Regions from separate parts of the Mus musculus genome. Here all the other regions are reported to be linked to region 1. Evidence: microRNA targets listed by miRTarBase, many of them from high-throughput screens and not tested one by one. Region 1 holds a microRNA gene; each other region holds the end of a gene's coding sequence.

Region 1 (10,110 bases):
CTATACAGAGAAACCCTGTCTCAAAAAACAACAACAACAACAACAACAACAACAAAAAACCCAAAAACAACACCCCTCCCCCCCAAAAAAACACTGATGCATTATAACTTTAAGAATACTTATGCTAATTTTCAAGAAACCAGACAAAACACTCTCCCACCCCCTCTGCCCAACTACAAAACTCCATTTATGTGAAATGTCAGAAGACTCCACACAAACAGAAAGGTTGCCACAGTTTGGAGAGCAACTACAATGGATACCATTTTCTTGCTGGGTGATAAAACTACTAAAACTACTTTAAAATTAGCTAGTAATGATTGTACAATTATTTAAAAACTAATGAACCATATAATGTAAAAGGGTGAAACGGGCTGGGGCTACCAAACCTAATGACCCAGACCCACATTCGGGAGGTGGGAACCCTCTCCTACAAGTCGCCCTCTGACTGACTGTCACACAAGCACCATGGCGCATACAATCATACAGACACACACATGCACAAATACATACACTAAATAAATATAATTTTAAAATTAAAACAGACATATATGGCATGTAGACTATATCACAGTACTTTCTTAAAAGGGGAAACTAAGTCAATGAGGTGCTTGCCAGGTAATAGTGCTTGCTACACAGCCTGAAAAAAGTGAGATGTGGTGGTGCATGTCTGTGATCCGGCCTCTTATGACAGATAAGACACAAACACAGGAGAGTGGTCCAGGTCAGCTCCACAGACTACAAGGTGACAGACAACTCTCCATAGTTGTCCTGACCTGCACACATGCACCTGGCATAGAAATGCTCACACACATCAACCTTAAAGGCAAGGCAGACATGAAGAGATGGCCCAGAGGGTTAAGGTAATTGTCACTATATCTGAGTTTGATCCCTAGGGTTGACACAGAAGGAGAATCAACTGCCCCAGTAGTTGTCCCATGAGTGGCACATGTGTGCCATAGCAAGAGTGTGTCCACTCACATATACATACATAAAAATTGCAAAGGAAACTTTAAAAATTCTATGAAAAAGCTGGGTGGTGGTGCACGCCTTTAATCTCAACACTTGGGAGGCAGAGGCAGGTGGATTTCTGAGTTCGAGGCCAGCCTGATCTACAGAATGAGTTGCAGGACAGCCAGGGCTATACAGAGAAACCCTGTCTTGAAAAACCAAAATAAATAAATGAATAAATATTCTATAAATAATTCTAAAACTGCATCTACGTTTCCAATGTATTGAAAAACCCATATGCTATATGTCAATTCTCTTCCCCTACATCCCGAGCTAGGCATAGCTACCTAAACACACTCTTAGAAGGGCTGCCTCAGCAGGTGAAGGTGCTACTGCCATGGCCGACAGCCTGCAACACCCAAACTCTAGGATCCTGCATGATGAGGGAAAGAACTGACTCTCCCGAGTTATCCTCTGACTTCCACGTGTGTGGCAGTATCATGGCATACGTGTGCCCACGTACAAAATAAATAAATATGAAATAAACCCTTAGCATCATCTAGTTCCTTTCCCATCTATCTCTGGACTGCCTGTTTCTACTGAGAGTCTATTTTTTCTCTTTGCTTCCCATTAGCTTGGGAACCAAAGCTTAGATCTTCATCTCCATATAAGATTTCTTAGAAGACCCTTGACTCTTGTTGCCTCCTCCCCAAACTCATTTCTTTGAGACAAGCTCTTATTATACCTATAGCCCAGGTTGGCCTAAAGCTCTTGATTCTTCTCTCCTTTTGTGCTTCGCAATTCCAGAGTTATCTTCTCAAGATAAACATAAAGCTGGGATGGCATCACTAAGTAAACTATAAACATAGTACTCAAAAACCTACTTCCGTATGTAAAGTTGACATTTCATACAAACAGTGCAAGATATTCCACAATCTGGGCTCAACCTGTTACAGCCTCACTGCCACATTTCTTTGCTCTACACATTCTCTTCTCTAAACTTATCACTCCATAAAAATGCCTTCTACTTTATGTTCTTTGTTCTCTCTCATCTGAAATGATCTCCACTTTTTTTTTTTACTCAAATCTAAACCAGCTTTGAAAGCTGTCCAAATGCCTATTCCTGCCTGGGTATTTCTTCAGCAAAATGAGCGGTTTTGTCCTCTCTATTTCACTAACATTTTAAAGGTCTATTATCAAAATAAAGCAAGAAAGAAGAATGGGAAAAAAATGTAGATTTTAGAATTTGATAGACCTGTGCTCAAATCTTATTATTGCATCTATTTGCTTGTGTGTATGTGTGTGTGTGTGTGTGTGTGTGTGTGTGTGTGTGTGTCCACACAGGGGCCACGACATACAAGTGGAAGTCAGAGGACAAACTGAGAGTCAGTTCTCTCCCTCCACCCAGACACTGAGCTCAGGCTGCCAGGCTGGATAGCTGGTGACTTACGGTCGGAACCATCTAATCCGTCTGCTGTGTTTGAGCCGTGGTCTTGCCATTTATTTATGAGCTGCAAGGCCTAGTAATGGGAAAATTCCTTAACCTATTTGAATTCCAACTTCATCAGTAAAATGAAAGTAATAGAGGGTAATTGTGAAGATCAAAGTATAGTAGGCACAGAAAAATCCTCAGTTATTTTTCTTTCCACATTTCAGCCTGCCTCAGTGTTTGCATGCATCTCTGTCGATGAACTCTAAACTGGTTGAAAGCGACATTATGCAGATGGCCTTCAGTTTACAACAGAATTAGATCCTACAAAGCCTAGCCACGTACCCTAAGTAACAAAGACATGTAACACTGCTAGGTACTGAATCACGGGCCTTTAATCCTGCACACAGAGGGCAGATGCAGAAGCAGGCAGAGCCTTATGAGTCCAAAGCCAGTTTGGTCTACACATTAAATTCCAAGCCAGCTAGGTCACTGGTATTTAAGTGACTATAAAGAGTGTACCAAACTATCTAAAAATGACTAAGTTTATGGGGGGGGGGGTCATCTTTGGTCATACAGAAAATAGCAATTGAGTGCTTTTTAAAGGTTGTTTTTTTTTTTGAAGGGTCTGTAAAGATACTCCAGAACCACTGTACTGATAAACAAAGGTGAAGACAAATTCACAAGCAGTTTTTAAAATACATGAGTTAAGCATAGGGCCCCTTACCTCATCGTCATCAGAATCACTCCCAAACACTGACGGTTTCTGTAAAACTCGGTGCAACGGCTGTGTTTTCTTTGGCAAAATAAGCCCATACCTGCGTAATTTTTTTTTGAAATAGAAATCGCACCATTATCTTTAAATAACATAAACATTTAAAGAACATAACACATCCACTACTTCTTCCTTATGAACTTCCCAAATCAAAACATGTCATACAACCTATGAACACATAATGGACTAACCGCTTTGCAACGACCTCAAAATTCTAATGTCATTTTATAGTTGTTATTATTATTTGTCTACCTGGGCCAAACTCAAAACATTTTTACTAAAGGAGAAAATGAAGACTACAGCAATGTTTTAGATAGTGAAGTGACAGGAATCCTAAACAGGCTAGTGGTTTTTGCAAACTTGCTAAAAACCAAAATGTTCTAAACTGTCCTCTGATTTTTTTCCCACACAGTAGCTAAGATCTTGAAAAATTGACTAAGAAACCCACGTAGAGATTCGGGCAAGTCCCCATTCACTTATTTGGCTCAATTGCTTTTGTCTGCGAGCAAGTCACCATGGGGGCAAGTTCCCATCCGTCCACTGGGCTCGTTTGCTTTGCTTCAGCGCCTCTGAAAACCATCACCACATTTTTTTTGTAACTAGATATTTTCTTTATTTACATTTCAAATGCTATCCCAAAAGTTCCCTATACCCCCCCCCCCGCCCACCCACTCCCACTTCTTGGCCCTGGTGTTCCCCTGTACTGGGGCATATAAAGTTTGCACAACCAATGGGCCTCTCTTCCCAATGATGGCCGACTAGGCTATCTTCTGCTACATATGCAGCTAGAGACACGAGCTCCAGTGGGGTACTGGTTAGTTCATATTGTTGTTCCACCTATAGGGTTGCAGACCCCTTCAGCTCCTTGGGTACTTTCTCTAGCGCCTCCATTGGGGGCCCTGTGGTCCATCCTATAGGTGACTGTGAGCATCCACTTCTGTATTTGCCAGGCACTGGCATAGCCTCACTCAAGACAGCTATATCAGGGTCCTTTCAGCAAAATCTTGCTGGCACATGCAATAGTGCCTGGGTTTGGCCATCACCAGATTTAATACGTTTCGTTTCTCGAGGTTTTGGCTTTAAAATGCAAAGGCCACGGGACATGCTTGGCACTGCAAGGTTTACACGCCCAAGAATAAATTTCCAGGCAGGTAAACCGTATCTGTGTCTTTCCCGGCAGCGAAGACCAGTTTCCTATATGCCTACTCTTTTCTGTGGCTTCTCAGCACCACACTCGTAACCCCAGGAGGGAGGGCGGGAGGCTGGTCTTGCCTGAGCATCTGCCAGGGAGAACGAGGCCCTCAAAGGCAACCAGGAGTTTCTCTTCTCGGTGCCCCTGAGCGCATCCAACCGGGAGAAACTCAAGCGCGGGGTAGGAAGCAAGACTGAGGGGCCTCAGACCGAGCTTTTGGAAAATAGAAAAGTCTCGCTCTCTGCCCCTCAGCCTAACTTCCTTTATTTCCTCACAAGTTTCTCAAACTTCGGGCTTGCAACCTGGAAAAATGTACCGGACGGGGGGTGGGGAACCTAAGTGGCTCGGAATTCCTCGCCTTCTCCCGCCTTTAACCGGGGCGGGGGTGGCCCTGCACTTCCGGCGACCTCAGACGCCTCGGCCTAAAGACTCAGTCTCCCTGGCTTCTTACTCCCCAGCCGGACCCTAACTTCCCCATCACTCACTGCCTGCCCGGGATCGCCATCTTGTTCCCGTCTCCGCTGGACCTGGTCGACGCGGACGTGACGAGACGCTGACGCCGACGTGTATACGCGCACTTCCGGTTCCGGTACTCGCTTAGCCGCTGAGCCTACCGCTGTGTCTTGCTTAGGATGCGGCTCGGCTCAGAGTCTTAAAGTCAGGGCGGGGAGGCGATGACCAAGTTCTAGTCCAGAGAGAGGCTCGTGGACCGCGCTCCGGGGACGAGCCTCGTCACTGGAGATAGTGTTAGAGTCACGTCCAACCGCGACGCCTGCTGAATCCGGACCGAGTCGGAGTGGGCCCCAATTATCTGAATTTAATGAGTTTCAAAACGGCTCCCTACACATCTATTGCTTTGTTTTGCTGCTCAGTGTAGCTGGCTCTGAGTGACTAAAAAAACCGAAAAGCCATAGAACCTCAATGTGAACTGATTATTTTATTTAAATAAAGCCTTTCTATATAATATAACCCTGACTGTCCTAGAACTCAAGATCTTGCTGCCTCAGCTTTCGGAATGCTGGAAATGCAGGCACCCTCGCCGAGAACTGATATTAGCAGTGCAGTTGTTTGAGACCATCTTGCTCTATAGTCCAGAATATCCTTTTGCCTCAGCCTTCTAAATGACAGTAACTCATCACAAGTGTGCCACCCCATTTTAAAAGACAAAACCTGGCTACATTTCATCTGTGCATCCACCATTTAGAACTAGTGTTGGCAGCCAGGGCTATACAGAGAAACCCTGTCTCGAAAAACCAAAAAAATAAAAATAAAAATTTTTTTTAAAAAGCCGGGCGTGGTGGCGCATGCCTTTAATCCCAGCACTTGGGAGGCAGAGGCAGGCAGATTTCTGAGTTCGAGGCCAGCCTGGTCTAAAAATGAGTTCCAGGATAGCCAGGGCTACACAGAAAAACCCTGTCTCAAAAAACAAAAACAACAACAAAAAAATTAGAACTAGTGTTGGTGTCTGGGAATTACCGTACAAACCACTCAGACACCAATCTCAGTCTAATAGAGATTAAATATCACACCCCAAGACTGAAAAATCAGGTCCACAGACCAAACTCAGGAGCTGACTGTGGCATTGAGTTAAGATCCTATAGGGCTTTTAAGCCTAAAATCCACAAACATCTGTGCCAAGTTACTCCACCAATCAGGATTTAGAGTTAGGCAATTTCATCAGAAGCATTTTTTTTTTTTGTACACTTATCCTGTTCTCATTAGTTGAGGTATTCAACTGTGGCAGAGGACTTGCCTAACATTCATGTCTTAACTTGCCAACCAGGACATCAGTTATCCATGTACATGCCTCTTTCTACCAAGTAGGATGTCAATTCCCTGGGATGTCTTAGGTAGGAACTTTATTCAACCCCTGCTCAAAATGGAAGTTTTATTCCAAATGGCTTCTTATGTTGGGGTCCATCCCAGGAGCAGCTTATAAAAGTAAAAACCATATACATGTGCTCACGTTTGGGTCCGAGCTTAGCGTGGCTAACTATACAAAGCAGTTCTAATTGCTTGTGATTGGTTTTCAAGAAACTGAAGCACAGAACATCCTAGCAACAGCAGTGACAGCATATAAGATTCCTTAGTAACAGCACAAAATGGCAGGCTAGACAAGTAACAGTTACCTAGGCCCTAACATGTTACCCAGGTCCTAACAACTTATAGTAACCAGCTATAAAAAGGCTGCATAATTGTTTCTCTGATCTGTCTCCACCCACCCCCATATATTTGGAAGTCATGTGGACATGTGGGATAGTGGTGTCCTGTTACAATAACTCTGGTATAATTAAGAATTGAAACTGAGATCTGGGTTTATGTTTCAAAGGTAGAACACTTACCTAGCATACTCAAAGCCCTGGGTTTGAACTCCTGCACTGCAAAAGAAAAAAAAAATTGACTCTATTCATTCCTGTTTTTGTATAACCAGTTCTGTTTGATTAATGTTAGCATAGTATGCCTTTTTTAAACAATTATTTATTTTATATATGTGAGTACACTGTCCTTCTCTTCAGACACACCAAAAGATCCCATTACAGATGGTTGTGAGCCACCATGTGGTTGCTGGGAATTGAACTCAGGACCTTTGGAAGAGTAGTCAGTGCTCTTAATAGCTGAGCCATCTCTCCAGCCCCAATTTGTCAGGGTTCTCTAGTGTTAAAGAACTTATGGAATCTCTCTCTCTCTCTCTCTCTCTCTCTCACACACACACACACACACACACACACACACTCACACACACACACACACACACTCACTTGAAGGCTACAGTCTACAGTCCAACTAACCTAACAATCAATCAATAGCTGTGAGTGGAAAATCCAAGAATCTAGTAGTGGCTCAGTCCCATGAGGCTGGGTGTCTCAGCTGGTCTTCTATAATAAGCTGCAGCCTGAAGAAGTAGGCTCCAACAGATGTCCCGGCAAAGTGAATGCAAGCGGACAAATAGAGAATAAACTGCTTCCTTCCATTGTCCTTATCTAGGTCCAACAGAAGATATGGCCCAGATTAAAGGTATCCTCAAGATCTGGATTAAAGGCTTGTGTCAATCCAGATCCAAAGCCTGTGACATCACACCTCAAGATTCAGATCAAAGCCTATGTCTTCCAGGCTCAAGATCCAGATCACAAGTGTGCCCACCATTTCTGGATTGCAGTTCATTCCAGATATAGTCAAGTTGACAACTGAGAAGAACCATCACAGGTTATAAACACCTATCATTTGCTCTCATTTTCCCCATATGTTCTCTGCTCATGTGAGATCCTGACTTGAAGTGTTTCCCCCAAGCTTGTTTTCCCTGATCTCTAAAAATACAGCCAGAAAGAAGCTCTTTGTTCTCTATAGCCAGCAAAAAGCCTTTTTGTTTCTATACCTTACAACCAGAGATGCAATAATTGTAAAAAGACCTAGCCAGGCACTTGCCTGGCTCCCTGTGCCAAGGACACGGAGATAAACTCCACAAAGAAGAGATACAACTCACTCCCCACTCCTCATGGCTTATAATTTTACCAAGGACACCCACCAGAGAAGAGCTGTAACCAAACTCCTCCCAACTCTTCCCAATTCCTCACTTTTTCCTTTAAAACCCCCTACTGTTACCGCTCAGGGTCGAACTCCCCTGCCCCGCGTGGCAAAAGGAGTTCGTCCTCAGCTAGCTGACAATAAAGCCTCTTTGCATCAAGTGTGGTTTTTCTCTCGAGTTATTGGGGTGTCGGCCAGCTCATCCCGGGACTTGAGCGGAGGTCTCCCCAGTTTCGGGGGTCTTACACTCACTACCCACTCCCAGACACTATTTTGCCATGTTTTGGGTTAATAGAGAAGATCTTATAATTGGATCTATGATCCAGCCTTCATTTGTATTAACCATATTCTATGCTTATAATTTTCTAAGGTTTTACTTTAGAATCTCTTTAGCCAAGAATGACCTTGAACTTGTGAGCCTCCTGCTCTCCTCTACACTGCTGGGACTGCAGTCATGCACCATCATGCCCAGTATATTCTACATAGGCAGTGAATGTGGAGCACTCCATCCACTGGGCTGCAGTCACCTGCCCTCTACTATACACCTTATTTATCACATGCCACCTTTGAGGGATGTGGGTCAGCAGTAGGGTGCTGGCCCAGCATGTGTAAAGCCCTAAGTCTGTTTTCCAACAGCCAAAACAGACACACATACAAACCCACTTTGCCACTTTGTTTATAATGTAAAACGTTTCCAGTCACATACGGTAGTGATGTGCTTGTGCTATTTGTCAAAGGGGGCAAAATAATTACTACTTTTGCTTTAAACACTTCTTGGTGGGTTTTATGGATCTGTTTGAGAGTTATTTATGTATTTTATATATGTGGGTGTTTTGTCTGTATGTACATCTGCACATCAGAAGAGGGCATCAGGTCCTCTGGAACTACAGTTTGTGAACTGCCACATGGATGCTGGGCATTGAATGTAGGATCTCTGGAAGAGCAGCCAGTTACCTTAGCCACTGAGCCATCTCTCCGTTCCCTTGTTTCTTGAGACAAGGTCTTGATATGTAAGTCCAGCTGGACTGGAGCACACTATGTAGACCAGACTTGACCTTATGGGGACCCTTCTGCATTTGCTTCCTGACATTGGGACTGTGGGTGTGCAATACCATGACTTTAAACAAAAGATTTTTTTTTTTTACTTTTAAATAAATTTTGAGAGGTGGTGAGAAGACAGAGGACCAGGGTTCAACTCTTACCACTCACATGGTGCCTCATAGCTCTGGAGTCCCAACTCCAGGGGATCTAGCACTTTCTTCTGGCCTCTCAACAGCTCCAGGCACAAAGATGGTGCACATACATGTAGGCAGGCAAAACACCCATGCATATAAAAGAAACCTTTTAAAAAAAGAATTATAGTATTGTGTTTACCCACGTATAGACATGTATAGTTCTGACGTCTCTATATCTTTGTGTGGATATTGATTAATATCTGACACCTCTCTCTCTCTCTTTCTCTTTCTCTCTCTCTCTCTCTCTCTCTCTCTCTCTCTCTCTCCCTCTCTCTCCCTTTCCTTCCCTCCCTCCCTCTCTCTCTTACCATGTAATTCCGGCTGACTTGAAACTCCCAGAGATCTGCCTGCATCCACCTCCAGTGTACCACCACACCAAGCTAAATTCTTTTTATTTTTTGAAAGTAGCTGTATTAAAGATAAAGTGCTTGTCCAGCAAGTATGAAGAACTGAGTCTAATCCCCAGAAGCCATGTTGCAAAAACAGAAGCCAGATATATACTTATAATGCTGACATTGGGAGAGATGGCAACAGATCTGACCAAGTAGGCTTATTCTATATAGCCTGGTGAGGAGAGAGAGAGAGAGAGAGAGAGAGAGGCAGAGAGAGGGAGGCAGAGAGAAAGAGGATGGTACCTAATGAAGGTTGTCCTCTGACTTCCGCAGCACAAATATGCAATCCTCCACTACACACAAACACACACAAAAGCAACTGCACTGAGATGTAATTCACATGAAGTTTACTATTGAAAATAACGCAACTCAGTAGTTTATAGTCAGGATTTTACTTCCAGTGCCATGTCAGTCATGACGCTGTGAATCTTTTCCTTCCCCTCGCAAGTCCTCCGACCCCAGGCAGCCACTAATCTACTTTCTATCTTTATGGATTTGAAATATCAGGTTTTGTTTCTTATATCCTGAAACTCAATAATTAGATGTATAAATATTTTAAGAATGCCATTGTGCCCTTAATTAGTTGGCCCCATCTTCATTATTTTTACCAAAAAAAA
Region 2 (10,110 bases), not on the chromosome of region 1:
GCCTTCTGCTTGCTTTGTTCTGATTTATCCAGAGCGACCTACACCTTTCTCTTCCCACAGGCTTTCATGTTCTGGGTAGTGGACAATTTCCTCATGAGAAAGGGGAAGACGAAAGCTAAACTAGAAGAAAGAGGAGCCAACCAGGACTCAAGGAATGGGAGCAAGGTTCGCTACCGAAGGGCAGCATCCCATGAGGAGTCTGAGTCTGAGGTATGAGCCTGACTCTCCCCAAGGGCGTGGCCATTATACCTTGGGCTCTGGGGGTCTCTGCTCTTAAGTTTGTACCTGAATTCGCAGTGCCAGTCAGAGGGAAGGAAGAAGCTGAGCTAAAGAATAGCTCAGGTCGCTCAGAGCCTCATTAGCGTGAGCCCAACATCTGCTGTTACATGTGCTGTCTCAAGCCAAAAGGACGTAGTATGTAGATTTGCTATAGACCATTGCTGCGGCAGCGGTGGAGACAGCTAGGTAAGGTGAAATCTGCCTTACTCCAGGGGAGCGTTAAAGTACTTGGAGCCCTGTTCTTCATGAACAAGCAAGGGAAAAACTTATAAAATATAGGACTAGCTAAACCTCGCAGAGGTAACCTCGTCTCCCTCTCCCCGCTGGTGCCTGACATAAGGAAGGTGCATGAGGACAGATAGCACAGGGCTGGGAGTGTGTCCCTTGGGCAGCAGCATCCGTGACCTGGGCCTCAGTGTCTGCGGAAACTCCATAGTGCCAAGTGCTGGGCTGCCAGTGGGAGCTAGAGATGTGGCTGAGATTAGCCAGGCTTGTGGCACATGCACATGGCTTTACTCCTGCACTTGGAAAGTAAAGGCACTTAGATCTCTGTGAGTTCGGAGTCAACCTAGTCTACATAGCAAAGTCCAGGCCAGAAAGGGCTATATAGTGAGACCTTGTCTCCCCCAGCCACCCCCAGAGTGACTGAGATGGCTGCCACCCTGAGACTTGAGGATGAGGAAAAGCAAACGCACAGTTGGTTTACCACCATGTGTGCAGTACGTCTGACTGAGCATGCGCACCAGCCCTGGGGAACCCTGGGCAGGCTGGAGGAGTTTTAAATGATGAATAGATTAGAAAGCAAGCCCCAATTTTCTCCAAGTTTGTATCTGGTTATAGGGCTGTATTACATCCTAATAATTGGCCAACATTTGGCAAATGACAAAAAGCCATAAAGCAGAAACTACGCTTATAGGCATTCACAACCACATGGTCTGGTCTCTGATATTAAAGTGAAGTTCACATTGGCCAGAGCAGGGAGCCGTGAGCTATCAAGTGACTCTGTCCACAGGAAGGGTAGTGAGGCTGTTTGTCCCACCCCTCAAGTAGGAGTTCACATTCCCCAGCATGGCTAGGCTTTGGGCCCTTAAACCTTCATGCAGGCCATTCCGATCTTCCCGTGGTAAGCAGAGGTCTAAGGCCAGCAGCTGCGGCAGGAGTGAGCAAGTTTGTCCTCAGTGTCCTGGCTGCATGGAGGGGTAGAGCGCTTCCCTCTTCATCTTCATGACAGAGGTGGCTCAAGACAGCCCCTCTGAACCTACACTGCCTGACTGGTCCCTGGGATGACTCCAGTCCCTTTTGAAAGACACTGTGTATGTAAGGGGATTCCAGGACCCTGAGATTCCAGGCGCCTGCTTGGCTTTGATCAGCTTTGGGTCTGGCTGGAAGCCAAGTGAAGGCATTGATTGGGTAGGGGGTGGCAGATTAGGGGTGGTGACTTCAATGCTAGCTTCAACAGGCCAGCACATCTCGCTGTGGAAGAGGGGACTTCCCTCAACCCTCCTCTGAGGGTGTGGGAGACATGGGGCCTCCCACAGGGGCTGGGTTCCAAGGAGGACACAGCACAGAAGGCGCTGGAATCTCAGGCCTTGCCTCTTGACCGCCTCAGATCCTGATCTCAGCTGACGACGAGATGGAGGAGTCTGACGCCGAGGAGGACCTCCGGAGACCTGTGAAAAAGAAGCACCGCTTCGGGCTGCCTGTATGACACATTCCCACGCTGCGGGTGACAGTCCTGGGGCCCAGCCCTGCAGCAACAGCGTCTCTGCCCTCCTCTCTGCCCTCCTCTTCTACCTCTGCTCCTCCTGCTGTCTCTGCCCGCTCTCCACCCGCCCCAGACGACTGTGACTTAAAAGAGGGAAGAGGACCCATGCCCGAGGGGGCTGTGGGCAGCTGGAGTGCCCACTCAGTTGCACTACAAACACTGACCAAATATGCAAGCGAAGAGCTTTGTTTGTTTGTTGTTGTCCCTTAGGGGTTCTGTAAGACCCCCTGTCCTGTCTGACCAGGTGGCATGGTGGAAGGAAACAGCACACAGACTGTTGCGGGTCCTGGAGCTGAGGCTGCCGGCCTTGTGGACAAGCGCTGTGCTTGAGGTTAGCAGTTGCTGGTTGACCCAAGTTGGAACAGGAATGCTTTCTTAACTCAAAATGGCTTTTGTAACTCTTTATTTCTAAAGCCAGTTTTATGAGCTGTGACAGTGTTACTGTTTTTTGAGTATGTGTTCATTTCCTACAAAGTATCTATGGGTCTAATGGGCAAACAGATTTTTAAGTCTTCCGTATACTGTTGGACTTTTATATTTTTAAGTTATATTTTCATACTATTGTATTTAAAACTCTTTTTAATCCCCAAAGACATGGATTTGTTTGCCTTTCATGGGGAATGAGCTAGGGGGAGGTGGGTAAAAATGAGGAGTTTTGGAGGCAGGAATATTGTTAAGTAACATCGATGGTGAGATAAACGGCCCTGGTGGGAAGGTAGAGAGATAGCGCTTATCTGCGCTCACAGATCCATAGTTAAGGTCAGAACCTGCACAGGAGGCAGCTGCTCCAGTGTGGGGACAGACAGAGCCCTGCCAGGGCATACAAGCTGCCGTGTTGGAGGCAATGGTTAAACTTCACTCAGGAGTTACACGTTTGTGTCCAGAGGACTCAAGACCGCCTCCGGCTACTCCTGTTGGTTTCCTGCCTATCTCAGTCTCTAAATTGCAAGTGTTAGAATGGCCTCAGCCTTGACTGCCTGTACAGCAGCCTTGACTGTACAGCAGCTTGCAGAGCCAACCTTTGCCCTGGTCTGTCACCAGCTGCCACCTGCTTGCTTGCTTAGCTGTCTAGAGAACTCTTCCTGGCCGGAAGAGCCTGTCATGATGCCCTACAAAGTTGTGAAATAACTGCAGCAGAGCAGACACTGGTGTGAGTCGTGTTTGAATGTGTAGGTTGTATGAGGCATTTCTAACTGGCTCCTCTCTGCTGGCCACACCCACTCCTCAGCCGGGCTGTGGTTTACCTGTGGGCCAGCCTGGCCTGGCACTGTCCCTGCTGTGGGAGCAGCAGGGCGGGACTGTCTGATGGCCTCTCAGTGGTAAGGAGCACAAGAACACCCACCGCCTCACGGGCTGAGGCCTTAGGTGAGACAAGCACAGAGGACAGCTCTCCTCAGAACCCCTAAGCCTAGGTCAGAGTGTGCTTTGCATAAGCATACAGGCTCTAAATATGCTTGTGGCCCGTGACCCTAGCCCTTGCCCAGGATACCTGGGCTGTCTTCTGCCACTTGAAACCTTCCTTGTCACAGACAGAAGGGTATGCTCTGGGTGGCCCTCTCAGCTCACTGTCTAGCGCAAGTCACTGAGAAGAGTGAGTCTGCTGTGGGAGGCTGCACATTCCTGTCAGGCAGAGGCCATGACCTGGAACGGGTCCGCCAGGCCCTGCCTTGGTCTCAGTTCCCATTTTCTTCCATCGTTCAGCAGTGGTCATTCTCTCCCCTTCTCTAGTGAGCTTCCACTGAGCTCAAACTCCTGGTGAGCTGGTCAGCGCCCGGGTGTTGCTGACGTCATCCTCACGTCCCCTTCCCCTTTGCTGTGCTTTAGCTGGCCTTTGCTGCGCACACCCCTGCCATCCCTCTGGAGCTCAGAGCTGAAACCTCATTTTCAGACTCAAGCTCCTGGAGTTTCCAAGCTAGACACAGAGGTGGGGGAAATGCTGTTAAGGACGGAAGGATGGCAACTCCGGGTGCACAGCCTCACAGAGGTGGTCTGTAAGGTCCTCCCAGCTCCCAGGCACAGGGCCTGGAGGACAGGAAGCAAGTGAGTGCAAGTTCCTTCTGCACCCTGATTTCCGCTAAGGACTGTCGTCTCTGGGCTGCAGCTGTGGAGTTGGCTCAGTAGGAGAGGAGGTCCAACAGGGATCTGCCACTAGAGCCTGTCTGTGTGCAAGCGTGGTGTGTGTCTGTCCTTCCCTCTCCCTGTGGATGTGCGCATGCAACCATACAGCAAAAGCACATACAATTCCGCATCCCTTGGGAGAGCCTCCGGTGGCCGACAAGGCCTTTCTGTCACCGTGGTGCACTGTCTCACTGGAGTGGATGTAGAGGGCTCTGGTCAGGACTTCTTCCTGAGCTGTCCCCCCTCCCCGGAACAAGTGTCCACATCACTTGTTCCAAGTTGCCTTATGAGGTGGGACCCTTTACTGGCTGATTGCGGGCGACACCGAGCTAGGGAAAAAAAAAAAAAAAAAAAAAAACAAGAAGTGTGGAATGCTGACCTAGCTGTGGTGTGCTGTCAATCTGATTTGTCCAAATAGGTACCTTGGCCAAGCTGCTCTTGGTAGAAGCTTGCCAGCCACGGTGAAGAATGAGGTTTTTTTGTTTTTGTTTTTGTTTTTGTTTTTTTTTTGTAACTAACAGAAATAAACCAATGAGAGAGAGCTGACACCTAACTCGGAGACATGGTGGTTGCTTTTTTATTTCCTTTACCTGTTGGTGGGAGTTTGGGAAAGGCAGCGGTGAATGGTGAGCTCCCGTGTGGCAGTGGTCCGGAAGGTGTGTGAGGTGAGACTCTGTGCCCCTCAGCCCTGGGGCATGTTGGGAGCAACCTCCTGCCTCAGATGTTAAACTGTGAACTCCCGAGCACCAAAGGAGTCGTGGGTTCATGTCACCTCTCCTGCCTCCTTTCTTGGGGAAAACAAAAAGATTCAAGTTCAAGTTGTAACTTCTCTTTGGCAGTATAGGCCTGCTGGCTACAGCTCAGGATGCACATCTGAAAGGTGCCCCAAGACCTTGAAGGAGCAGACCCAGACTGTCCCTCCTGCCAGGCAGCAAACCTTATAGGATGTAACCTAGTCTTGTTTTGTTTCTGTTTTTTTAAGACAGTTTTACTGTGTGGTCCTGGCTGTCCTGGACCTAGCTCTGTGGATCAGGCTGGGCTCATACCCAAAGATCTGCCTGCGTCTGCCTCCCAAGTGCTGAGATTAAAGGTGTTCTCCACTCACCCCCCGACCCCCGAAGTGAGCTAACTCTTAAATGAAGATTTCCACAACTTTCAATGGGAGACTTGTTCATAGTGCGGGGCCTGTGGTCAGCCTTGCTTTGAACACCCTGAGTCCTGAGTGGGTGAGTGGATTGGTTGGTGGACTGGTTGCCTGGTTTAGTTCTAAATTTTTCTTTTCCTGGGTTTACTTAGAAGTCAGACCTATGAGTGACTTCAGCTGCCAATCAAGGCTGTGTACGCAGTCATGAGTCACAGAAACCATCCCACCTCAGCTGCCAGTGACACTTAAGCATGGTGTCATGCATGGGTCACAAAACCACATTTTTTAGATGAAAGAGAAGATGGTGTACTTCCATTGTAAACTGGTTTACAGTAAATTTTCACATCTTATTATATAAAAGAAGAAAAAGGAGGAAAAAACCCAGCACTTTTGTGGTCGTTGGTTGTGTGCCCTGTGCCCTGTAACTCACAACCAACTCAACGGGTTAATAAACCTGATGGCTTGGCTGCAGTGGGCTCAGAGTCTGCGATGAAAGGAGCCTAGCGTGGTCTAGCCATCATCCTGATGAGCCTAACCCGCTTTTCCTCCTGGGTCGTGAGAGCTGGGCATCCCTTATCCTTGTCCTAGTCAGCCAGCTGTGGGTACTCCTCACAAGGCATGGCCTGGCCTCCCCTTGGAATCATGGGTATTGCTCAGGTCCCTGCGTATAGACCTGATGGTGCACACACTGACCTACTGGGAGCCAGGCCCAGAACCAAGAATGGGATAGAGTTCGAGGCACAACAGCTATGGAATGACATTTAGGATGACTGTTAGTGCCTGGTTGAATTTCATCTGCCTGGTGCCTTCAGGGATAAACACAATGTCCATTGTAGACGGGAGGGAGTGGAGAGAAGTCTAAGACAAACCTCCAACCCACATCTACCACAGCCCACCTCAGGCTTAGGGTCCCTGCATTGCCACCAGTGATCTTTCCATGCAAAGATGAAGTTAGTGGTGGGTGCTAAATGATTTTCCAAGGGAGCTCTACTCTTTACTACAGCTTAATAGCTGAAGTGGCATTCACCCCAGCCCTCTAAAGTCCTGCCAGCCAGCTTCCAAGTGTCCATCTTAGACAGAAGCCCTCTATAGGCCTTTACTAGCAAGCATGGTCTCCTCCGGGCCTATACTGTACCTTGCTTTGTCTCTTTATTAAACTTGTCCCAGGGCTGGCTAGAGGACCAGGACACCAACAAGACTGTGATATGGCAGCTCCACAGGGTCTCGGCCTTCCTGGCTACTCACTCTGAGTTGGCTGTGCTCACCATGAGGAAGTGTTTCCAAGCAACAGAAAGGAAGTTTCTCCCCTGCTAATGTGCTGGGATGGAAAATCTATTTCCAGTGGAATCCAGGAGTAGAAGAGAAAGCTAAACAAACTCAGAGCATCCACCCTTGTTCAGGGCCCTCCCTCTCCTCAGAGACTTCCCCTCCCACCCCTGCCACTGGGATGGGTTCTTGCAGTCAGCCTGGGCAGGCTGTCTCACACATTCCAGGGTTCACATTCATAAACACAGTCTGTGAACAACAGTGCCAACACCTCCCACCGTCGAGTAAGCAGCTGTCCCCAGAGATGCGGGGTCCCCGCGGCCATCTCCTCTCACCAGGGCAGCTGCCCATCATCGCCAAGAATAAACTCCAGCTAGTCGCTGCGTGGATCTGAATCATCTGAGAGCTTCCAAAGGAGGGGAGTGACTACCCAGGACGCACAAGCAGACTATATAAGTTCCCAAGGGTTGGGCCTCACGCAGATCCTTTCCTGTGGCTACTGCCTGCCAGAGAGCTACCAACAGCGAGCTTGCTTGGCATCCAACATGTCCGAGGTAAGGAGGCCCAGAAGGGACTAGTTGGTGCCAAGGAAGTTGCGAGGGCAAGGCTGGACACTAAGTAGTAGTGCCTGCTCTGAAGTAAAAGCCAAAGCTAAACAGAAGCACCGTGGCCCTTCCAGGCTGGCCTCTGGACACCCTGGGTCTCACCAGGCTCTGGTGAAAGGCCTTGACACTTCAGGCGTGTGAGGGGTTGGAGGTGGGGAGTGCCTATATAGAACTGTGCGCCTTTGTATGGAGATGAGGGAGCTAGCCTTGCTGGCTTAGTGTGTCCTGATGTGTACACATTTGTAATCTGGAGGAAGGATGAGGGGCGGAGACTGTACCTATAGATCTGTCTGTCTCCCTGTGAGGGTGTGTCTGCAGGCCTGCGTTTCCCTGGGAGCTCAGCCCAGGCTGAGTGAGGGAATCCTTGCACCTGCCTGCAGGGCTTAAGAAGGAATCAGGTGTCAGCCTCACAGGCGCCCGCCCGGGTGGTAGAGAAGGGTGAGCACTAAATCTGGCTTTCCCGGCTCTACTGGGCAAGAACAACAAGGTCATCCTTGCTCCTTTCTCCATGGCTGTCTACCCCGATCCCTCCCCAAACACAGTAAACATCAGTGGTTTTGTTTTAGGGAAAGGGGGGAGGGGCAGTCTTACGGACTTCACCACCTCTGTGAACAGATCTTAGAATTCCTGAGATTACCAAGGGCTCCTCAGTCTTAGAGTTCATCTTTTTGCTCTCCGCCCTTGTGTCCAGTCCTGAACTCGGCCTGACAAACAGGCCAGTGTGAGGATGCAGTGGTCACCACCCCCAGGAGTTCCCTCCCTGTCTGTGGGGAAAGGTCAGATGTCCAAGTCAGGCTAAGAAGGCAGGGAGGTGGCGGGGAACTTGCAGTTGGGAGAGGAGTGAGCTTTGAATCGGCTTAATTCGGAAGCCTGGGAAGGAGGAGCCCCCGCCAAAGTTGGGGGGTCTTCATCTCAAGGCATTGAATTGTAAGGCTCTCGACTTTTCCAAGGCTGGCACTCCTGAAGGCCCCATCAAGAAGAAGCGGCCCCCTGTGAAGGAAGAAGACCTGAAGGGGGCCCGAGGGACCCTGGCCAAGAACCAGGACATCAAGTCTAAGACATACCAGGTCATGCGGGACTACGGTGAGTGTCCCCCGGGCATGTGGTAGAATTGGAGACACAAGCATCCCCCGGTGGTAGCTAAGAGGTGTTGAGGGTCTCTGGGCATAGGAGGGGCTGCACACAGCATAGGGAGCCCTGCCTCTGAGAAGACCAGTTTAGGTCCCTGATGTCACCTCCTCCATCTCTTGCCTCCAGAGCAAGCCGGCTCAGCTGCCCCATCTGTATTCAGCCGCAACCGCACAGGCACCGAGACAGTCTTTGAGAAGCCCAAAGAGGGACCAGCCAAGAGCGTGTTTGGCTGAGACATGCACATTGCACCATCCACCCGGACACAGGAGCCTCCCCACGAACTTTTTTTTTTTTGTAATGCTGGAAGATGCCTTTCCTCTGCTGTCTCTTGAACCATCATGACTCCCACAACCCTAGCCCTTGGAAACACCAATAAAGAGTATGCCCAATGTCCCCAACCTTGGGACGTTGCCATGGCCGCTACCTGCAGAAGAGAGGGAAGTGTGGGGACATAGCATATCTGGTGCCCTTCCTGGACTCTGAGGTGGGACAGGGAATAATGTGTGTGCTCTCAGAACCACTGAGGTGTTCCAGGCAGAGCCTTAGCCGTGGAGTCCTGGTGCGGACTTTCTGATGCGTGTAGGAGACAGTTCTTCCTAAATCTCTGTTTTAGGCTGGGAAGATGGTGCCATAGCTAAAAGTACTTGCCATTTCTTTAGAGGACTCTGGTTCAGTTCCCAAATATCCTCATGGTAGCTCATAACCATTGAACTCTGCCACCCTCTTCTGGCCCCTGCGGGCATTGCATTACGTGTGGTATGCCTGTAGTCAAAATACTCACGTACCTAAAATAAAAATGAAATGGAAAAGTAACCTTCGGTTTCCCATCATGCACAGCAGGAGAGTTGAGTTAATGTCTATGGCATAAAGCAGGTTTCAGTAACAGAGAGACCTTGTTGGAGGCCGAGCTCCCTCTGCCTGCCTCAGAAGGTGCTGCAGTGTTTCCAGGGTCCTCCAAGCCCATTATCCTTACTCCTTTGCCCATGGTGTCTCTGGACTGTATGTCTCCATCTCAAAGCCCAAACTAGGTGTGGTTCCTCTGGCCAGTGGCCGTGAGTTTCCAAGACTCCTCAGCAACCATGTCCCGCCCCCCAGCATGGTGGCCGGGGTATGAGAACACCAGGTTCCTAGCTGTGTGCCATCTGTCTCCTCAGACCTGTGTCCTATGTCTGCTGTGTCAGGTTGAGGAAGCTAAAAGCTTGCCCAGTTAGAATGGCAAGAACACAGGCAGGCCAATAATGGCTCCTGAGAGCAGACCTACAGGGCCTGGCTCATGGATGACTCCTCCTGAGAAGCTCCTGTGACCCCTGGGCAGGTAGCTCTGGCTCCAGGCTGGGCCTATCCTCTGGGTCCCAGAGGAGCAGACGTCTTGTGGGGACAGAGCCAGCACTTGCTCACTGGACCTCTTAATAATGTCCTTCCCAGCAGAACTGTGTACTGTCCAACCCCACTCCCATCCAGAGCCTGGAGGGTGAACGGACACACAGGAGTGTGGCCTCTGACCATAGCCTTGCAAGGGAAGGCAGGGTTTTCATAGAAGCAACAGAAATTTCCTCAAAGTTTCCAACGCCCTGTCCTAGGGACAGATGCCACCAGCCTTGAGGTAAACCACACCAATGAAGACAACACACCAGTAGCTGGCCACACTTCTGGGTCCGTAGACTCAGGAGTGGACTTTCCAGGGCCACCAGAGGACACCAACTCCAGCTGCATCAAGTATTCAATATTTGTTTGCTTTATTACAGTGTCTATTATTTTAAAAAAAAAAAAGTACTTAGTGGGTGAGGGTAAGGTGTCCCCCA
Region 3 (10,110 bases), not on the chromosome of region 1:
AGCTAAAAGACTGCCCGGGAGACTCTATCTGGGATACTCTTTTTTAAATTGCTTTAATCACAAGCTGTTATAATGCCCCTAATACTCACTGGCTATCCCTGACTGGTTAAAACTGGTTGCTGCTAAAGATGTGAGGACAAAGAAAAAGAAACCTTTTCTCTTTTGATTTGTGCTTCTTGGATTACTCAAGTACTTCTCTTCAAAGATCTTTTTTCCCATTTCACATCTTTCACTTTATTTTCTGATAACTGCTTAAAAATAACCTCTTCCTGGTACTTAGTTATATCACATAAATCCTTTTCGCTTTTTAGAAGAAATCATAGAACTCTGACAACCTTCCTGGAGACCCTATGACTCACCCAGATAGTTCACACATAGCCACCCAGACAGGCTTAGTGTGTAATGATAACAACAACAACAACAATAATAAACAACAATGAGTTTTCTCCTGTGGAGGAGTCAGATGGAATTTATAAAACTAGACTTAATTGGGGCTAAATAAACTCCGTTTTAAAATTAAAAAAAAAAAGAATTCTGAAATTTTGATTTCTTTTTTAAAACACAGAAAAATTACATGACTGTGATTTGTTTTATTCCCAGGCGTAGGGGTGTGAGGCTGCTTCCGACAGTCCGCAGCAGCTGACTATGATTTGCCTCATGCTCTGGCAGAGGCACGGTTTTGCCAGCTGCAGATATTTTCTACCATTGTAACCTTTTGGAATCCTGGGAACTTTTCGGAGGATACATAAATGTGAGGGCCCCAGAGGCAGGCTGGGAGTGTTGGTCACTTGGGGGTGGGGGGGGGTGGAGGGGTTGTTAGTAGCTGTGGTTAAAGAAGAAACAAAAGGGAGGACATTAGATTCAGAGATTTCCCTAATTCTTCTCTCCCTTCTAACCTTGTTTCTCTTTTACCCAGTGTTGGAGTTAAAACCAGGGGATAAAAGAGGGGAGCAGAGAAGAACCCACAAAGTAGCAAAGACAGGTACAGGTGAGTTTGTTTTTTCTCCGCCTGAAGAAGAAGAAGAAAAAAAAAACCCTTCCAGTAATTGGAATCTAACTTATGCATGGTGCAAGGATGCTACAATTGCTACAGATGTTACAGATGCAGATGCTACAGTTCTCACAAGGAAACAGTTATGACAAAACCCTGCTAAATGTGGTGGTATGCACCTGGAAAAACAGCACCAAGGAGGACTTACAATCCAAGCCAGGCAGGGGTACTCAGTGAAAGCCAAACAAAAGAAAAAGAAAGAAAACAGCAGCTGGGAGTGCGAGTTTGCCTTGTGTACCTAGCCTCTGGGTTCCGTCCCCAGCAGCACAAAAATCAACATCATAACACAGAAACCTGTAGAAAATTGGTTAAGTAAAAACCTCCATGTAGGTGCTCAAGTGTACCACACGATGGCGGTAGAGGACAGTAGTGACCTTTGCAGCATTCACTGAGTGGCTGCAAAGAGCAGAGAAGGCAAGGATGGGAATTCTCAGCAAACCTCTGAGAGGCTACTTAGGAGGAAAGGGAGACCTAGAGCCTCTGTAAGTACAAATGTTCCTCTTACTGTTTTCTTCAGTAGCCATAATGGAACTAAATAGGGAGGAGATTAGAGGAAACTGTGTATGGAGGTGGGGTGACAGGAAATTTTAAAGTCACATTTCCACAGCAGTCCCAAAATCCAACAGGACAAAAATGACTATGGGAAGAATTCATTACAGAAAGAGGAACCTGGGTAGATGGAACTATTCCATTTCTATGACATTTATTTACTTGTGGGGCCTGGAAGCATGAATATCTTTTACCTTGTGGGTCTTAGGGATCAAACACAGTTTGTCAGGCTTACCAGCAAGCACCCTTACCTACTGAGCCATCTTACTAGCCCAAGTTTAAAGTAAATGAGAGGTATAGGTGTAGAGCCCTTATTACTTTCCTTTTATAAGTGGATTAGATACATCAAACTTTGCTCAGAGCTAGAGGCATCCTGTTAGACTGTAAACCTGAGTACAGTACAATCCACACCTAGACCATAGCACTTATGGAACGAATGCAGAAGGGTCATGAGTTCAATTCCAGCCTAGCCTACATCGTGAGAGCCTATCACAGAGAGAAAGAACAGAAAGTCCTGTGGCTGAGAATATAGCTTGGGCTACAGAGCTCCGGCTCTTACAATCTTCTCTCCCCCTTTGCCTTTAAGCTTCTTGGGTTGGCTAGATGTATCAGTGGGCAAAGGTGCTCACTATACAAGCCTGGTGGCCTGCTCTCGGCTCCCAGGAGAGTATGCATCATAAAGTTGTCCTCTGAGCGCCACATCCGTGTCACATATGAGCACACACCAATACCAAGTGAAACACAGCAACAACCGAGCCTGAGCTCAGTGGGGGAACATTTAATTAGCATGCACACAGCCCTGGGATTCAATTCCCAGATAATTTTTTAAATGGGCACCTAACTAGTTTTAAGCATATTACTTGTCTACTCTGTGCTAGCTATTGAGAACAGAATATTAAATGAAGTCATTCCGTGCCACTGTGAAAAAATGGTGCATATTTATTTAGATAGACAGTCCAGAGTTGCCCAGGATAGCTTTAGTACATATTTATTTAGATAGACAGTCCAGGGCTGGCAAGATGGCTCAGTGGTTAAGAGCACTGACTGCTCTTCCAAAGGTCCTGAGTTCAAATCTCAGCAACCACATGGTGGCTCACAACCACCCGTAATGAGATCTGATGCCCTCTTCTGGTGCTAGAAGTCAGCTACAGTGTACTTATGTATAATAATAAATGAAGCTTTGGGCTGGAGCAAGCAGGGACTTAGTGATCGGAGTTGACCAGAGCGAGCAAAGGTCCTAAAAATTCAATCCACAACAACCACATGAAGGCTCACAACCATCTGTAGAGCTACTGTATACTCACATATATAAAACAAATAAATCTTTAGATAGACAGTCCAGTGTAGCCCAGGATAGCTTTGACCTTGGTACGTAGTCCAAGATGGCCTTGAACTCCTGACCCTTCTGCCTCCATGTCCCAAGTGCTGGCTGGCATTATAAATAAGTGCACCACACTGAGATTGTGTAGGAATAGGGAAAGAACTCAGGACATTATGGGTACTTGGTAGGCAGACACTGCAGGCAGTCTACCAACTGAGCTACACTCCCACCCCCACCCCACCCCACTGTAAAATTTGTTTTAAAGACAAGATCTTAGGTAGTTCAAGCTGTGATCAAACTCATTAAGTTGATAACAGTGGCCTTGAACTCTGATCCTCCAGCTTACATATTTCAAGTTTGTATCACTTTAAATCTTCTCTTGCCAAAATAAAAGGCACATTGCATCAGCTGCCTGAAGAGGATCTCCTGCCAGTCAAGACCCACTTTAGATAGAGAAAGCCCCTAAAAATAGCCATCCATGTGCGGGCTCAACAGGTGATTGGCTCTGAGAGGGGAGGAGAGCCTCTCGACTGGGTGAAGGAGACAGAGAAGGACAGTGCCATTCCTAGCCTCCCTTTGACAATGGCTCTGCCTCTAAAGGTCCTGAGCCGGAGCATGGCCAGCGCAGCCAAAGGAGACCATGGAGGGGCAGGAGGTAAGTGGGGCCAGGCCTGACTCTGATTTAGTAGCCTAGCCGATCTGTTCTCTTTGCCCGGCTTCCCCCTCCTTCTGTCTCCTGGCTCCTCTCTCCTGATCTACCAGGCACTGATCTTTCAGACCTCTAGGCCCAGGGATAGTTTTTGCCTATGAATCTACTCACACCCCACCTTTGCTCCTCCAGCCAACACCTGGCGCCTCCTGACCTTTGTGCTGGCTCTTCCCGGCGTAGCCCTCTGCTCCCTTAACTGCTGGATGCACGCTGGCCACCACGAGCGCCCAGAGTTCATCCCGTATCACCACCTCCGCATCCGAACCAAGGTACGCCAGAGGATGAGCGAGTGAGAGCATGCAGGGGGATTGCGGGGAGGGACTGTGGTGGGTGACCTGTCTGCCTTCTCTCTGCAGCCCTTCGCCTGGGGGGACGGCAACCACACGCTTTTCCACAATCCCCACGTCAATCCTTTGCCCACCGGTTATGAGCACCCTTGATGTCTCAGCAGACACGCTCTGCCAGCAATCTTCAAATTGGCCTTCTGCACACCGGCTCTGAGAGCCCCTGAGGTTCCAGTGGACAGTTCCAAGCTCAATAAAGGTGTGGAAGTTTTGTGTCCTCTGGCTCTTTGGGAACAGCATGGTGGAAGGGGCTGGGCAGGCTCTTGGGCAGTTGGTATCTGGGTTCCAGTTATTTTTTTTTATATAAGGAAAATGTGATGTTTCCACCTGCATTTTCATTTTATTTTTTAAAAATTTATACAAGCAATACATTGAATATTGAGCATATTACTCAGTCTTGTGTTAGTTCTTATCCATATGTAAATTTATGCTGACCCCATTCCTGCTCTTGCAAAAAAAGTGGATCAGCACTGAAATCTGACACATGGGCAAACCATAAAAATCTCCCAGCTCAGGAGGTAGGGCATCATTTCTGGGAAGTTTCCCAGGCTAGCCCAGAGCTGAAGAGAACTTGTTCCCATGCCAGTAGATTCATAGGCAAAAGCAAAACCAATCTCGTAATTGTGGAGATATACAGGAAAGTAGATTCCTAGGACGTGAGATGTGGAGGAGTCTCATGGTTGGAATCTGCCTGGCCGGCTGGGTCAGGATCTGCAGATGGTAGATCCAGCATCTCTTTATACTGACGTTTGAAGAAGCCAAGCTATAAAATGTAGTAAAGTCAGAAAAACTGGGTAAGAGGGAAGTTGAAGATGAGAGAACTAAAATAACTTCCAGCTGTGTGTCAGGGCAGCCATGTGAATGGCCCTCACGTACAGAGAAAGGCCATGTGCCAAGCAGTCGTTACACTCTTAGTTGTGGGAGGAAGCCACAGGCTCATTGTCGGGCAGATTTGTACATATGGCATGTCTGCTTCAGTTTAGCCATTCTGTGATATAACTTTCATTGTTATTTCAAAAAGGAGAGATGGAAAAAGACCAAGCAAATGTGATAGGAACAGAATATGTGGCCAAGCCTGCCCTACAACTACGATCTGTGTTCTTACTGTCGTATGGTGTGCACGACAGAACTGGTAGTGAACACTAGTAGTGTTAGGAAAATGATGTGAAAACAATTTACCTTGTACAGCGCCACAGTGATGAGAGCCAGTAACAGCAGACCTCCCACTGAGCTGAACACCATGAGGAAGACGGGCTCATAGACCACGTATTCTTCTAGCATCGTTGACACCTGATTTGAAAATCAGTGAATGCTCATTCTTCTCACACATGCACACAAACACTCATACACACAGGCACACAGTACACACAAACACACACACACGCACACACACAGTCATATACATATGCACATATGCGCACTCATATACACACATGTGCACACAAACACTCATGCACACAGGCACACAATACACACAAACACACACATGTGCATGCATGTGCGCACACATGCACACACACAGTCATATACACATGTACATATGCGCACTCATATATACACACACAGGCACGCACACACTCATATGTCCACACACACACTCATATACACCCACACACATGCACACACATGTGCTCACACACACACACACACACACACACACACACACACACAAACACACCCCTTTACTATTCCCCCTCCCTTGCCAATGCCCATGAATGCTTCCAAGCATTGAGCCACAGAAGCATTCATGCATTCTGAGGGTCTAGGAACCTCTACCCTCCGTCCAGGCTGGCAGATCCGCAGCCAGCACTACAGACTGAAGAACATTCAGAGCCCTCTCACCAGCCTGGCAGCTGCCTGCCACAATCACTACCTGGGCTCTCAGAAATGCCTCCTGTCCCGGCAGCTGGGAATACACAGATGTGTTGAATGTGATTTCAGCCTCACTCAGGAGCAACACCTTTTTCTGCAATGTCTGCAAAAGATGGGGTGGGGCAGAGCTGGGAATTAGATCTGGGGAAGCTCAGGGTTCAAGGACTGCCCTGACCCAAGGATGCCCCAGACCCATCGGGCACACATGGTCCAGGGGAGGACTTCTGCTATTGGCCACGCACCTGACTGATCCAGCCGAAGCTGAGGTTGCCCTTCAGAATGAAGTCAAGCTCATCCAGGGTGCCCAAGGAGGGGATGTCACAGCGGAGGTGCAGGCAGTCGGCGATGGCGCAGTCCTGGGGGCAGGAGGGGGATAAAGCTGAGGAGGAGGAGGGCCTTTACTTAGAAAGAGACAAAAAGATGAAACAAAGGCTGGCATTGAGTAGAGAATATACAATCGCAGGCTGACTACACAGTCAGAGTCATCAGTGCATTCCGTGCGTGTCCCCAGCACACGGGCTTTTCTCACCAGCACAGAGCGTCCTTGGATCTGGGTCAGAAGGTCGGAATGTTGAGGAGGTTCCCTCTGTGACACACAGGAGACACCCTAGGAGTGGGGGAGGTGATCAGAGCATGGCATCCTTATAGAGAGGGATTCTGGAGAGAGAACTGCTACGGGCTGTGTACCTGTGCTGGGCTCCTCAGAGTCACATCCCACACGGCCACACCATTCAGAAGGATGGGGACCCAGAAGTTAACGCTGATGGCCAGCGTCAATGGACTCAGGTTATTCACCTGCAGGAGTGGAGACCAGGTATTGGTATGATCCCTAGAACACCCCCATTTATTTCCTACCCATAGTTCTCTAGTCTTCTCCATCTTGAGCTGAGACCAACACACGTATTCTCTAGCTTCTCACACGATATCGATGTTCGGCCTCTTTCTGTCTCTCCCCGTGGGAAGATGAGAAGTTGAAATGCTTGGTAGAATCTTCCTGCCTGGAGAGAATGACATGTTAGTGAGAAACCGCTCCGACGCCATCTCCGTTTGAATCCCAGCTCGCTGTACAGTACTGGGTCCAGCAGCTGATGCAGGGAAACAACGATGGTCTTCAAATGCATCTGCAGCCTCGGTGCCAGCTTCCACTCCTCTCCCCACAGAGCCTTGCCAGGCACCGGAGTTACCAGCTCTTCCCTTGATGCGCTGACTTCTTTATGCCCCCAAAGATCTGTTCCAGCTTTCTTTGGCAGGAAATGTTCTTAACCGAGTTCCAGGGATTTTCACTCAGAGACCCAGCATCTGCACATTCCTTGTACTGATTGATCGCCATTTCCCAGTGGTGAGAAAGCGCTTGTATGCCCCCTCTAGCTGGTAGTCCATCAGATGGGAGGTGGCCTCAGGAACGCCTACAAAGTCTTCTGCCAGAATAAATAAGCCTATGGGACTCTACAAAGGGAAGGCTAGATTACTTGGGACAAATGGAGTGACCCTGTCTCTGGTGGCAGGCATGAAAGCAGATATAGTCGTGTTGGGGCAGGCAAACACATATGGAAGGAGTTGGCCCAGGAACTCAAGCCAAGAGGGTCCCTAAATGCCGACAGGTTCCTATCTACTGGTTGTATTTGTGAGATAGGCTCAAGTCATAGCCTAGACACGCCTTAAATTCACAGCGATCTTCCTACACCTGCCTTCCAGATGCAAAGATTATGACACATCTGGCTTACCCATGGCTTTCAGTAGACATTTGCTATGTTACAAAAGATGGTGGGAGGGGCACAGGAGGAATAGGAGGGGAGAGAGAGTGAGGGAGTAGGATGTGTAAATACATTACTCATGTATGAAATTATCAAAAATAAAAATGTAAATTAAATAACGAAGAACATATTTACCTTTGAAAATGTATTATCTAATACCACTGCTCATATGAGTAAAATGTTTCACACACACAAGTCTTTTTGTGGGGCGTTTGGACAGTCCTGGGGATTTCAGAAGTTAAGCCGTGGTCCCCGCCTTCCCAATGCTTGATGATGTCTCTGATCTCAGCAGAATTAAGCAGGAAGGCACAGTGGTTCCAGCACTCGGGAGGCAGAGGCAGGCAGATCCCTGTGAGTTCAGGGCCAGCCTGGTCTACACAGTGAGTTCCAGGACAGCCAGGGCCGCATAGTGAGACCTTGCTTTTTGTTTTTGATTTTTTTAAAAAAGAATTGAGCTCTAAGAAGGGCCAACATGCTTCATCAGCACCCAAAACCTCTGCAGAGCCCCCCCCCCGCCCCGTTTCACGCTATCAACTGGACATTTAAGAACACAGAGGAGACTGGGGGTGTGGCTGTGCCGGGCACTTGCTTAGCAAGCTCTAGGCCCCAGGTTCAGTCCTCAGGCACTGCTGAAGAATTGCCCAAGTTCGCATCTCAGACCCACCACTTCCTACTCAACAAAGTAACTTGGAGCATAAGTCATTTAACCTCATTAGAGTCCCGCAGAAGGCTGTCGCGGCACCCCCCACACATGAGCTCTCTATAACCGTTGGGAGTTTTCTCTTAGCTGGGATTCCTCTGTGCCTCCCAAACCTCTTCTGTCTCTGCTTCCCTTTTCTTACTTTAACATCTCCAGCTCTAAGCCTCTTTCCTTTTAAAAACAATTATTTTACATGGATTTGTTTATCTGGGGGAAGGCATGTGCCACTGTGCACATTTAATGTTCCCTGACTCTACCATGTGGGCATCAGGCTTGCCAGTGGCTTCACTCTCTGAGCCATCTCCTCAGGCTTAAACATCTTTTCAAAGCTGAGTAGAGCTCTCAGCCTTCCTCCATCTTGAGAGGACACAAACCCTCTCTGGAAGAAGCCCCTGGGCCCTCCTGCTTGCTTTGGACCACATAAGCAGCCCTGTCACACAGGGTGGCCTTGTACAAGACATTCAGTGTGGCTTACCTGGTGAATACAGGGGCAGGTTATTAAACCTCTTGAATTTTTTTATTGGTAAAAATAGAGATAACAATGTGGTTATCCAGAGGATTAAGTGAAATTACTACGAGGAAGAAGAAGAAGAAGAAGAAGAAGAAGAAGAAGAGGAGGAGGAGGAGGAGGAGGAGGAGGAGGAGGAGGAGGAAGAAGAGGAAGAGGAAGAAGAGGAAGAGGAAGAGGAGGAGGAGGAGGAGGAGGAAGGAGGAAGGAGGAAGAGGAGGAAGAGGAGGAAGAGGAGGAAGAGGAAGAGGAGGAAGAGGAAGAGGAACAAGTAACTCTTCCCAATCCTCACTAAAATAAAAACAATAGTATATTTAACTGTAAGCTGTGTTTTCCTAGGGAGAAAGAGGAAATTCATACATACAATCCATGGGTCATGTCACTGAAAATGACACATTTGATCCCCCTCCAGTCCTCCCATGCACTCAGTGGCTACAGCCACAAACCCCACCAAATGGATCTCTCAATGGTGTCCCAACAGCTCTCCACTCTGCGGAGTAACCGTCCACTCTGGAAAGTCCCTTGCTTGCTTCTAGCTTACCCTGCCCCTGCATTCACCTACGCACCTTCAAACCCCATAGCAGCAGCTTTGCCCTGACTCTCCCACCAGCTCTACCCTCCTCTGACCTTGCTTGGCCCCTGTGCAGAGCAGACCTATCCTGTTGGGTCAGGCTCCTGAGCACACAATGCCCAGAAAAGTCTTGCCCTCGATAGCCTAGCTTCACGCAGTGTCTGATACCACATCTAGCACTGAGGGAAGCTTCCTGGGAAAGGAAGACAGCACTGGAAGAAGAAGAGTTAAACAATGTGGCAAAGCCATGTGCCACCAGCAGACCAGTATACCAGAGCAGTATACAGCTTTTCATGGTGTGTTACAGATGATTAGACACAGACCAGACACAGACACAGACACAGACACAGACACACAGACACACAGACACACAGACACACAGACACACAGACACACAGACACACAGACACACAGACACACAGACACACAGACTCACAGACACAGACACAGACACACAGACACACAGACACACAGACACACAGACACACAGACACACAGACACACAGACACACAGACACACAGACTCACAGACACAGACACAGACACACAGACACACAGACACACAGACACAGACTCAGACTCAGACTCAGACTCAGACTCACACAGACACAGAAACAGACACATAGAGACACAGACATAGACACAGACACAGACACAGACACAGACACAGGCACAGGCACAGGCACAGGCACAGGCACAGGCACAGGCACAGGCACAGGCACAGACACAGA

The links. Region 1 holds the annotated microRNA mmu-miR-423-3p (AGCUCGGUCUGAGGCCCCUCAGU, at 4,537-4,559, opposite strand). A microRNA usually pairs through its seed, bases 2 to 8, with sites in the 3' UTR of a target mRNA and lowers its output. Matches are read on the target gene's strand: a 7mer-m8 pairs with bases 2 to 8, a 7mer-A1 pairs with bases 2 to 7 and ends in A, and an 8mer does both.
Region 2: miRTarBase lists Stimate as a target of mmu-miR-423-3p. Seed matches in the 3' UTR shown: 7mer-m8 at 4,486-4,492.
Region 3: the mRNA of Cox6a2 is a reported target of mmu-miR-423-3p. The part of its 3' UTR that is shown has no 7-base or 8-base seed match.

The regions. Positions count from the first base shown.
Region 1 is chr11:77,073,550-77,083,659 of GRCm38, forward strand. Mir423 (microRNA 423) reads right to left here and starts at 4,623; the gene lies at 4,515-4,623. Nsrp1 (nuclear speckle regulatory protein 1) reads right to left here and starts at 4,888. Exons shown (of 7, transcript NM_001012309.2): 1 at 4,830-4,888; 2 at 3,105-3,195. The coding sequence starts at 4,849.
Region 2 is chr14:30,872,490-30,882,599 of GRCm38, forward strand. It overlaps Stimate (STIM activating enhancer), which reads left to right. Exons shown (of 8, transcript NM_028839.4): 7 at 61-210; 8 at 1,889-4,721. The coding sequence ends at 1,987. It overlaps Mustn1 (musculoskeletal, embryonic nuclear protein 1), which reads left to right and starts at 6,768. Exons shown (of 3, transcript NM_181390.3): 1 at 6,768-7,126; 2 at 8,128-8,260; 3 at 8,435-9,121. The coding sequence starts at 7,118. The coding sequence ends at 8,541.
Region 3 is chr7:128,199,689-128,209,798 of GRCm38, reverse strand. Cox6a2 (cytochrome c oxidase subunit 6A2) reads left to right here and starts at 3,433. Exons shown (of 3, transcript NM_009943.2): 1 at 3,433-3,576; 2 at 3,763-3,899; 3 at 3,987-4,364. The coding sequence starts at 3,504. The coding sequence ends at 4,070. Itgad (integrin, alpha D) reads right to left here. Exons shown (of 31, transcript NM_001029872.3): 25 at 6,766-6,844; 26 at 6,534-6,641; 27 at 6,376-6,453; 28 at 6,089-6,202; 29 at 5,848-5,949; 30 at 5,154-5,264; 31 at 4,295-4,737. The coding sequence ends at 4,624. It overlaps 4931431B13Rik (RIKEN cDNA 4931431B13 gene), which reads left to right and starts at 6,471. Exons shown (of 3, transcript NR_045183.1): 1 at 6,471-6,660.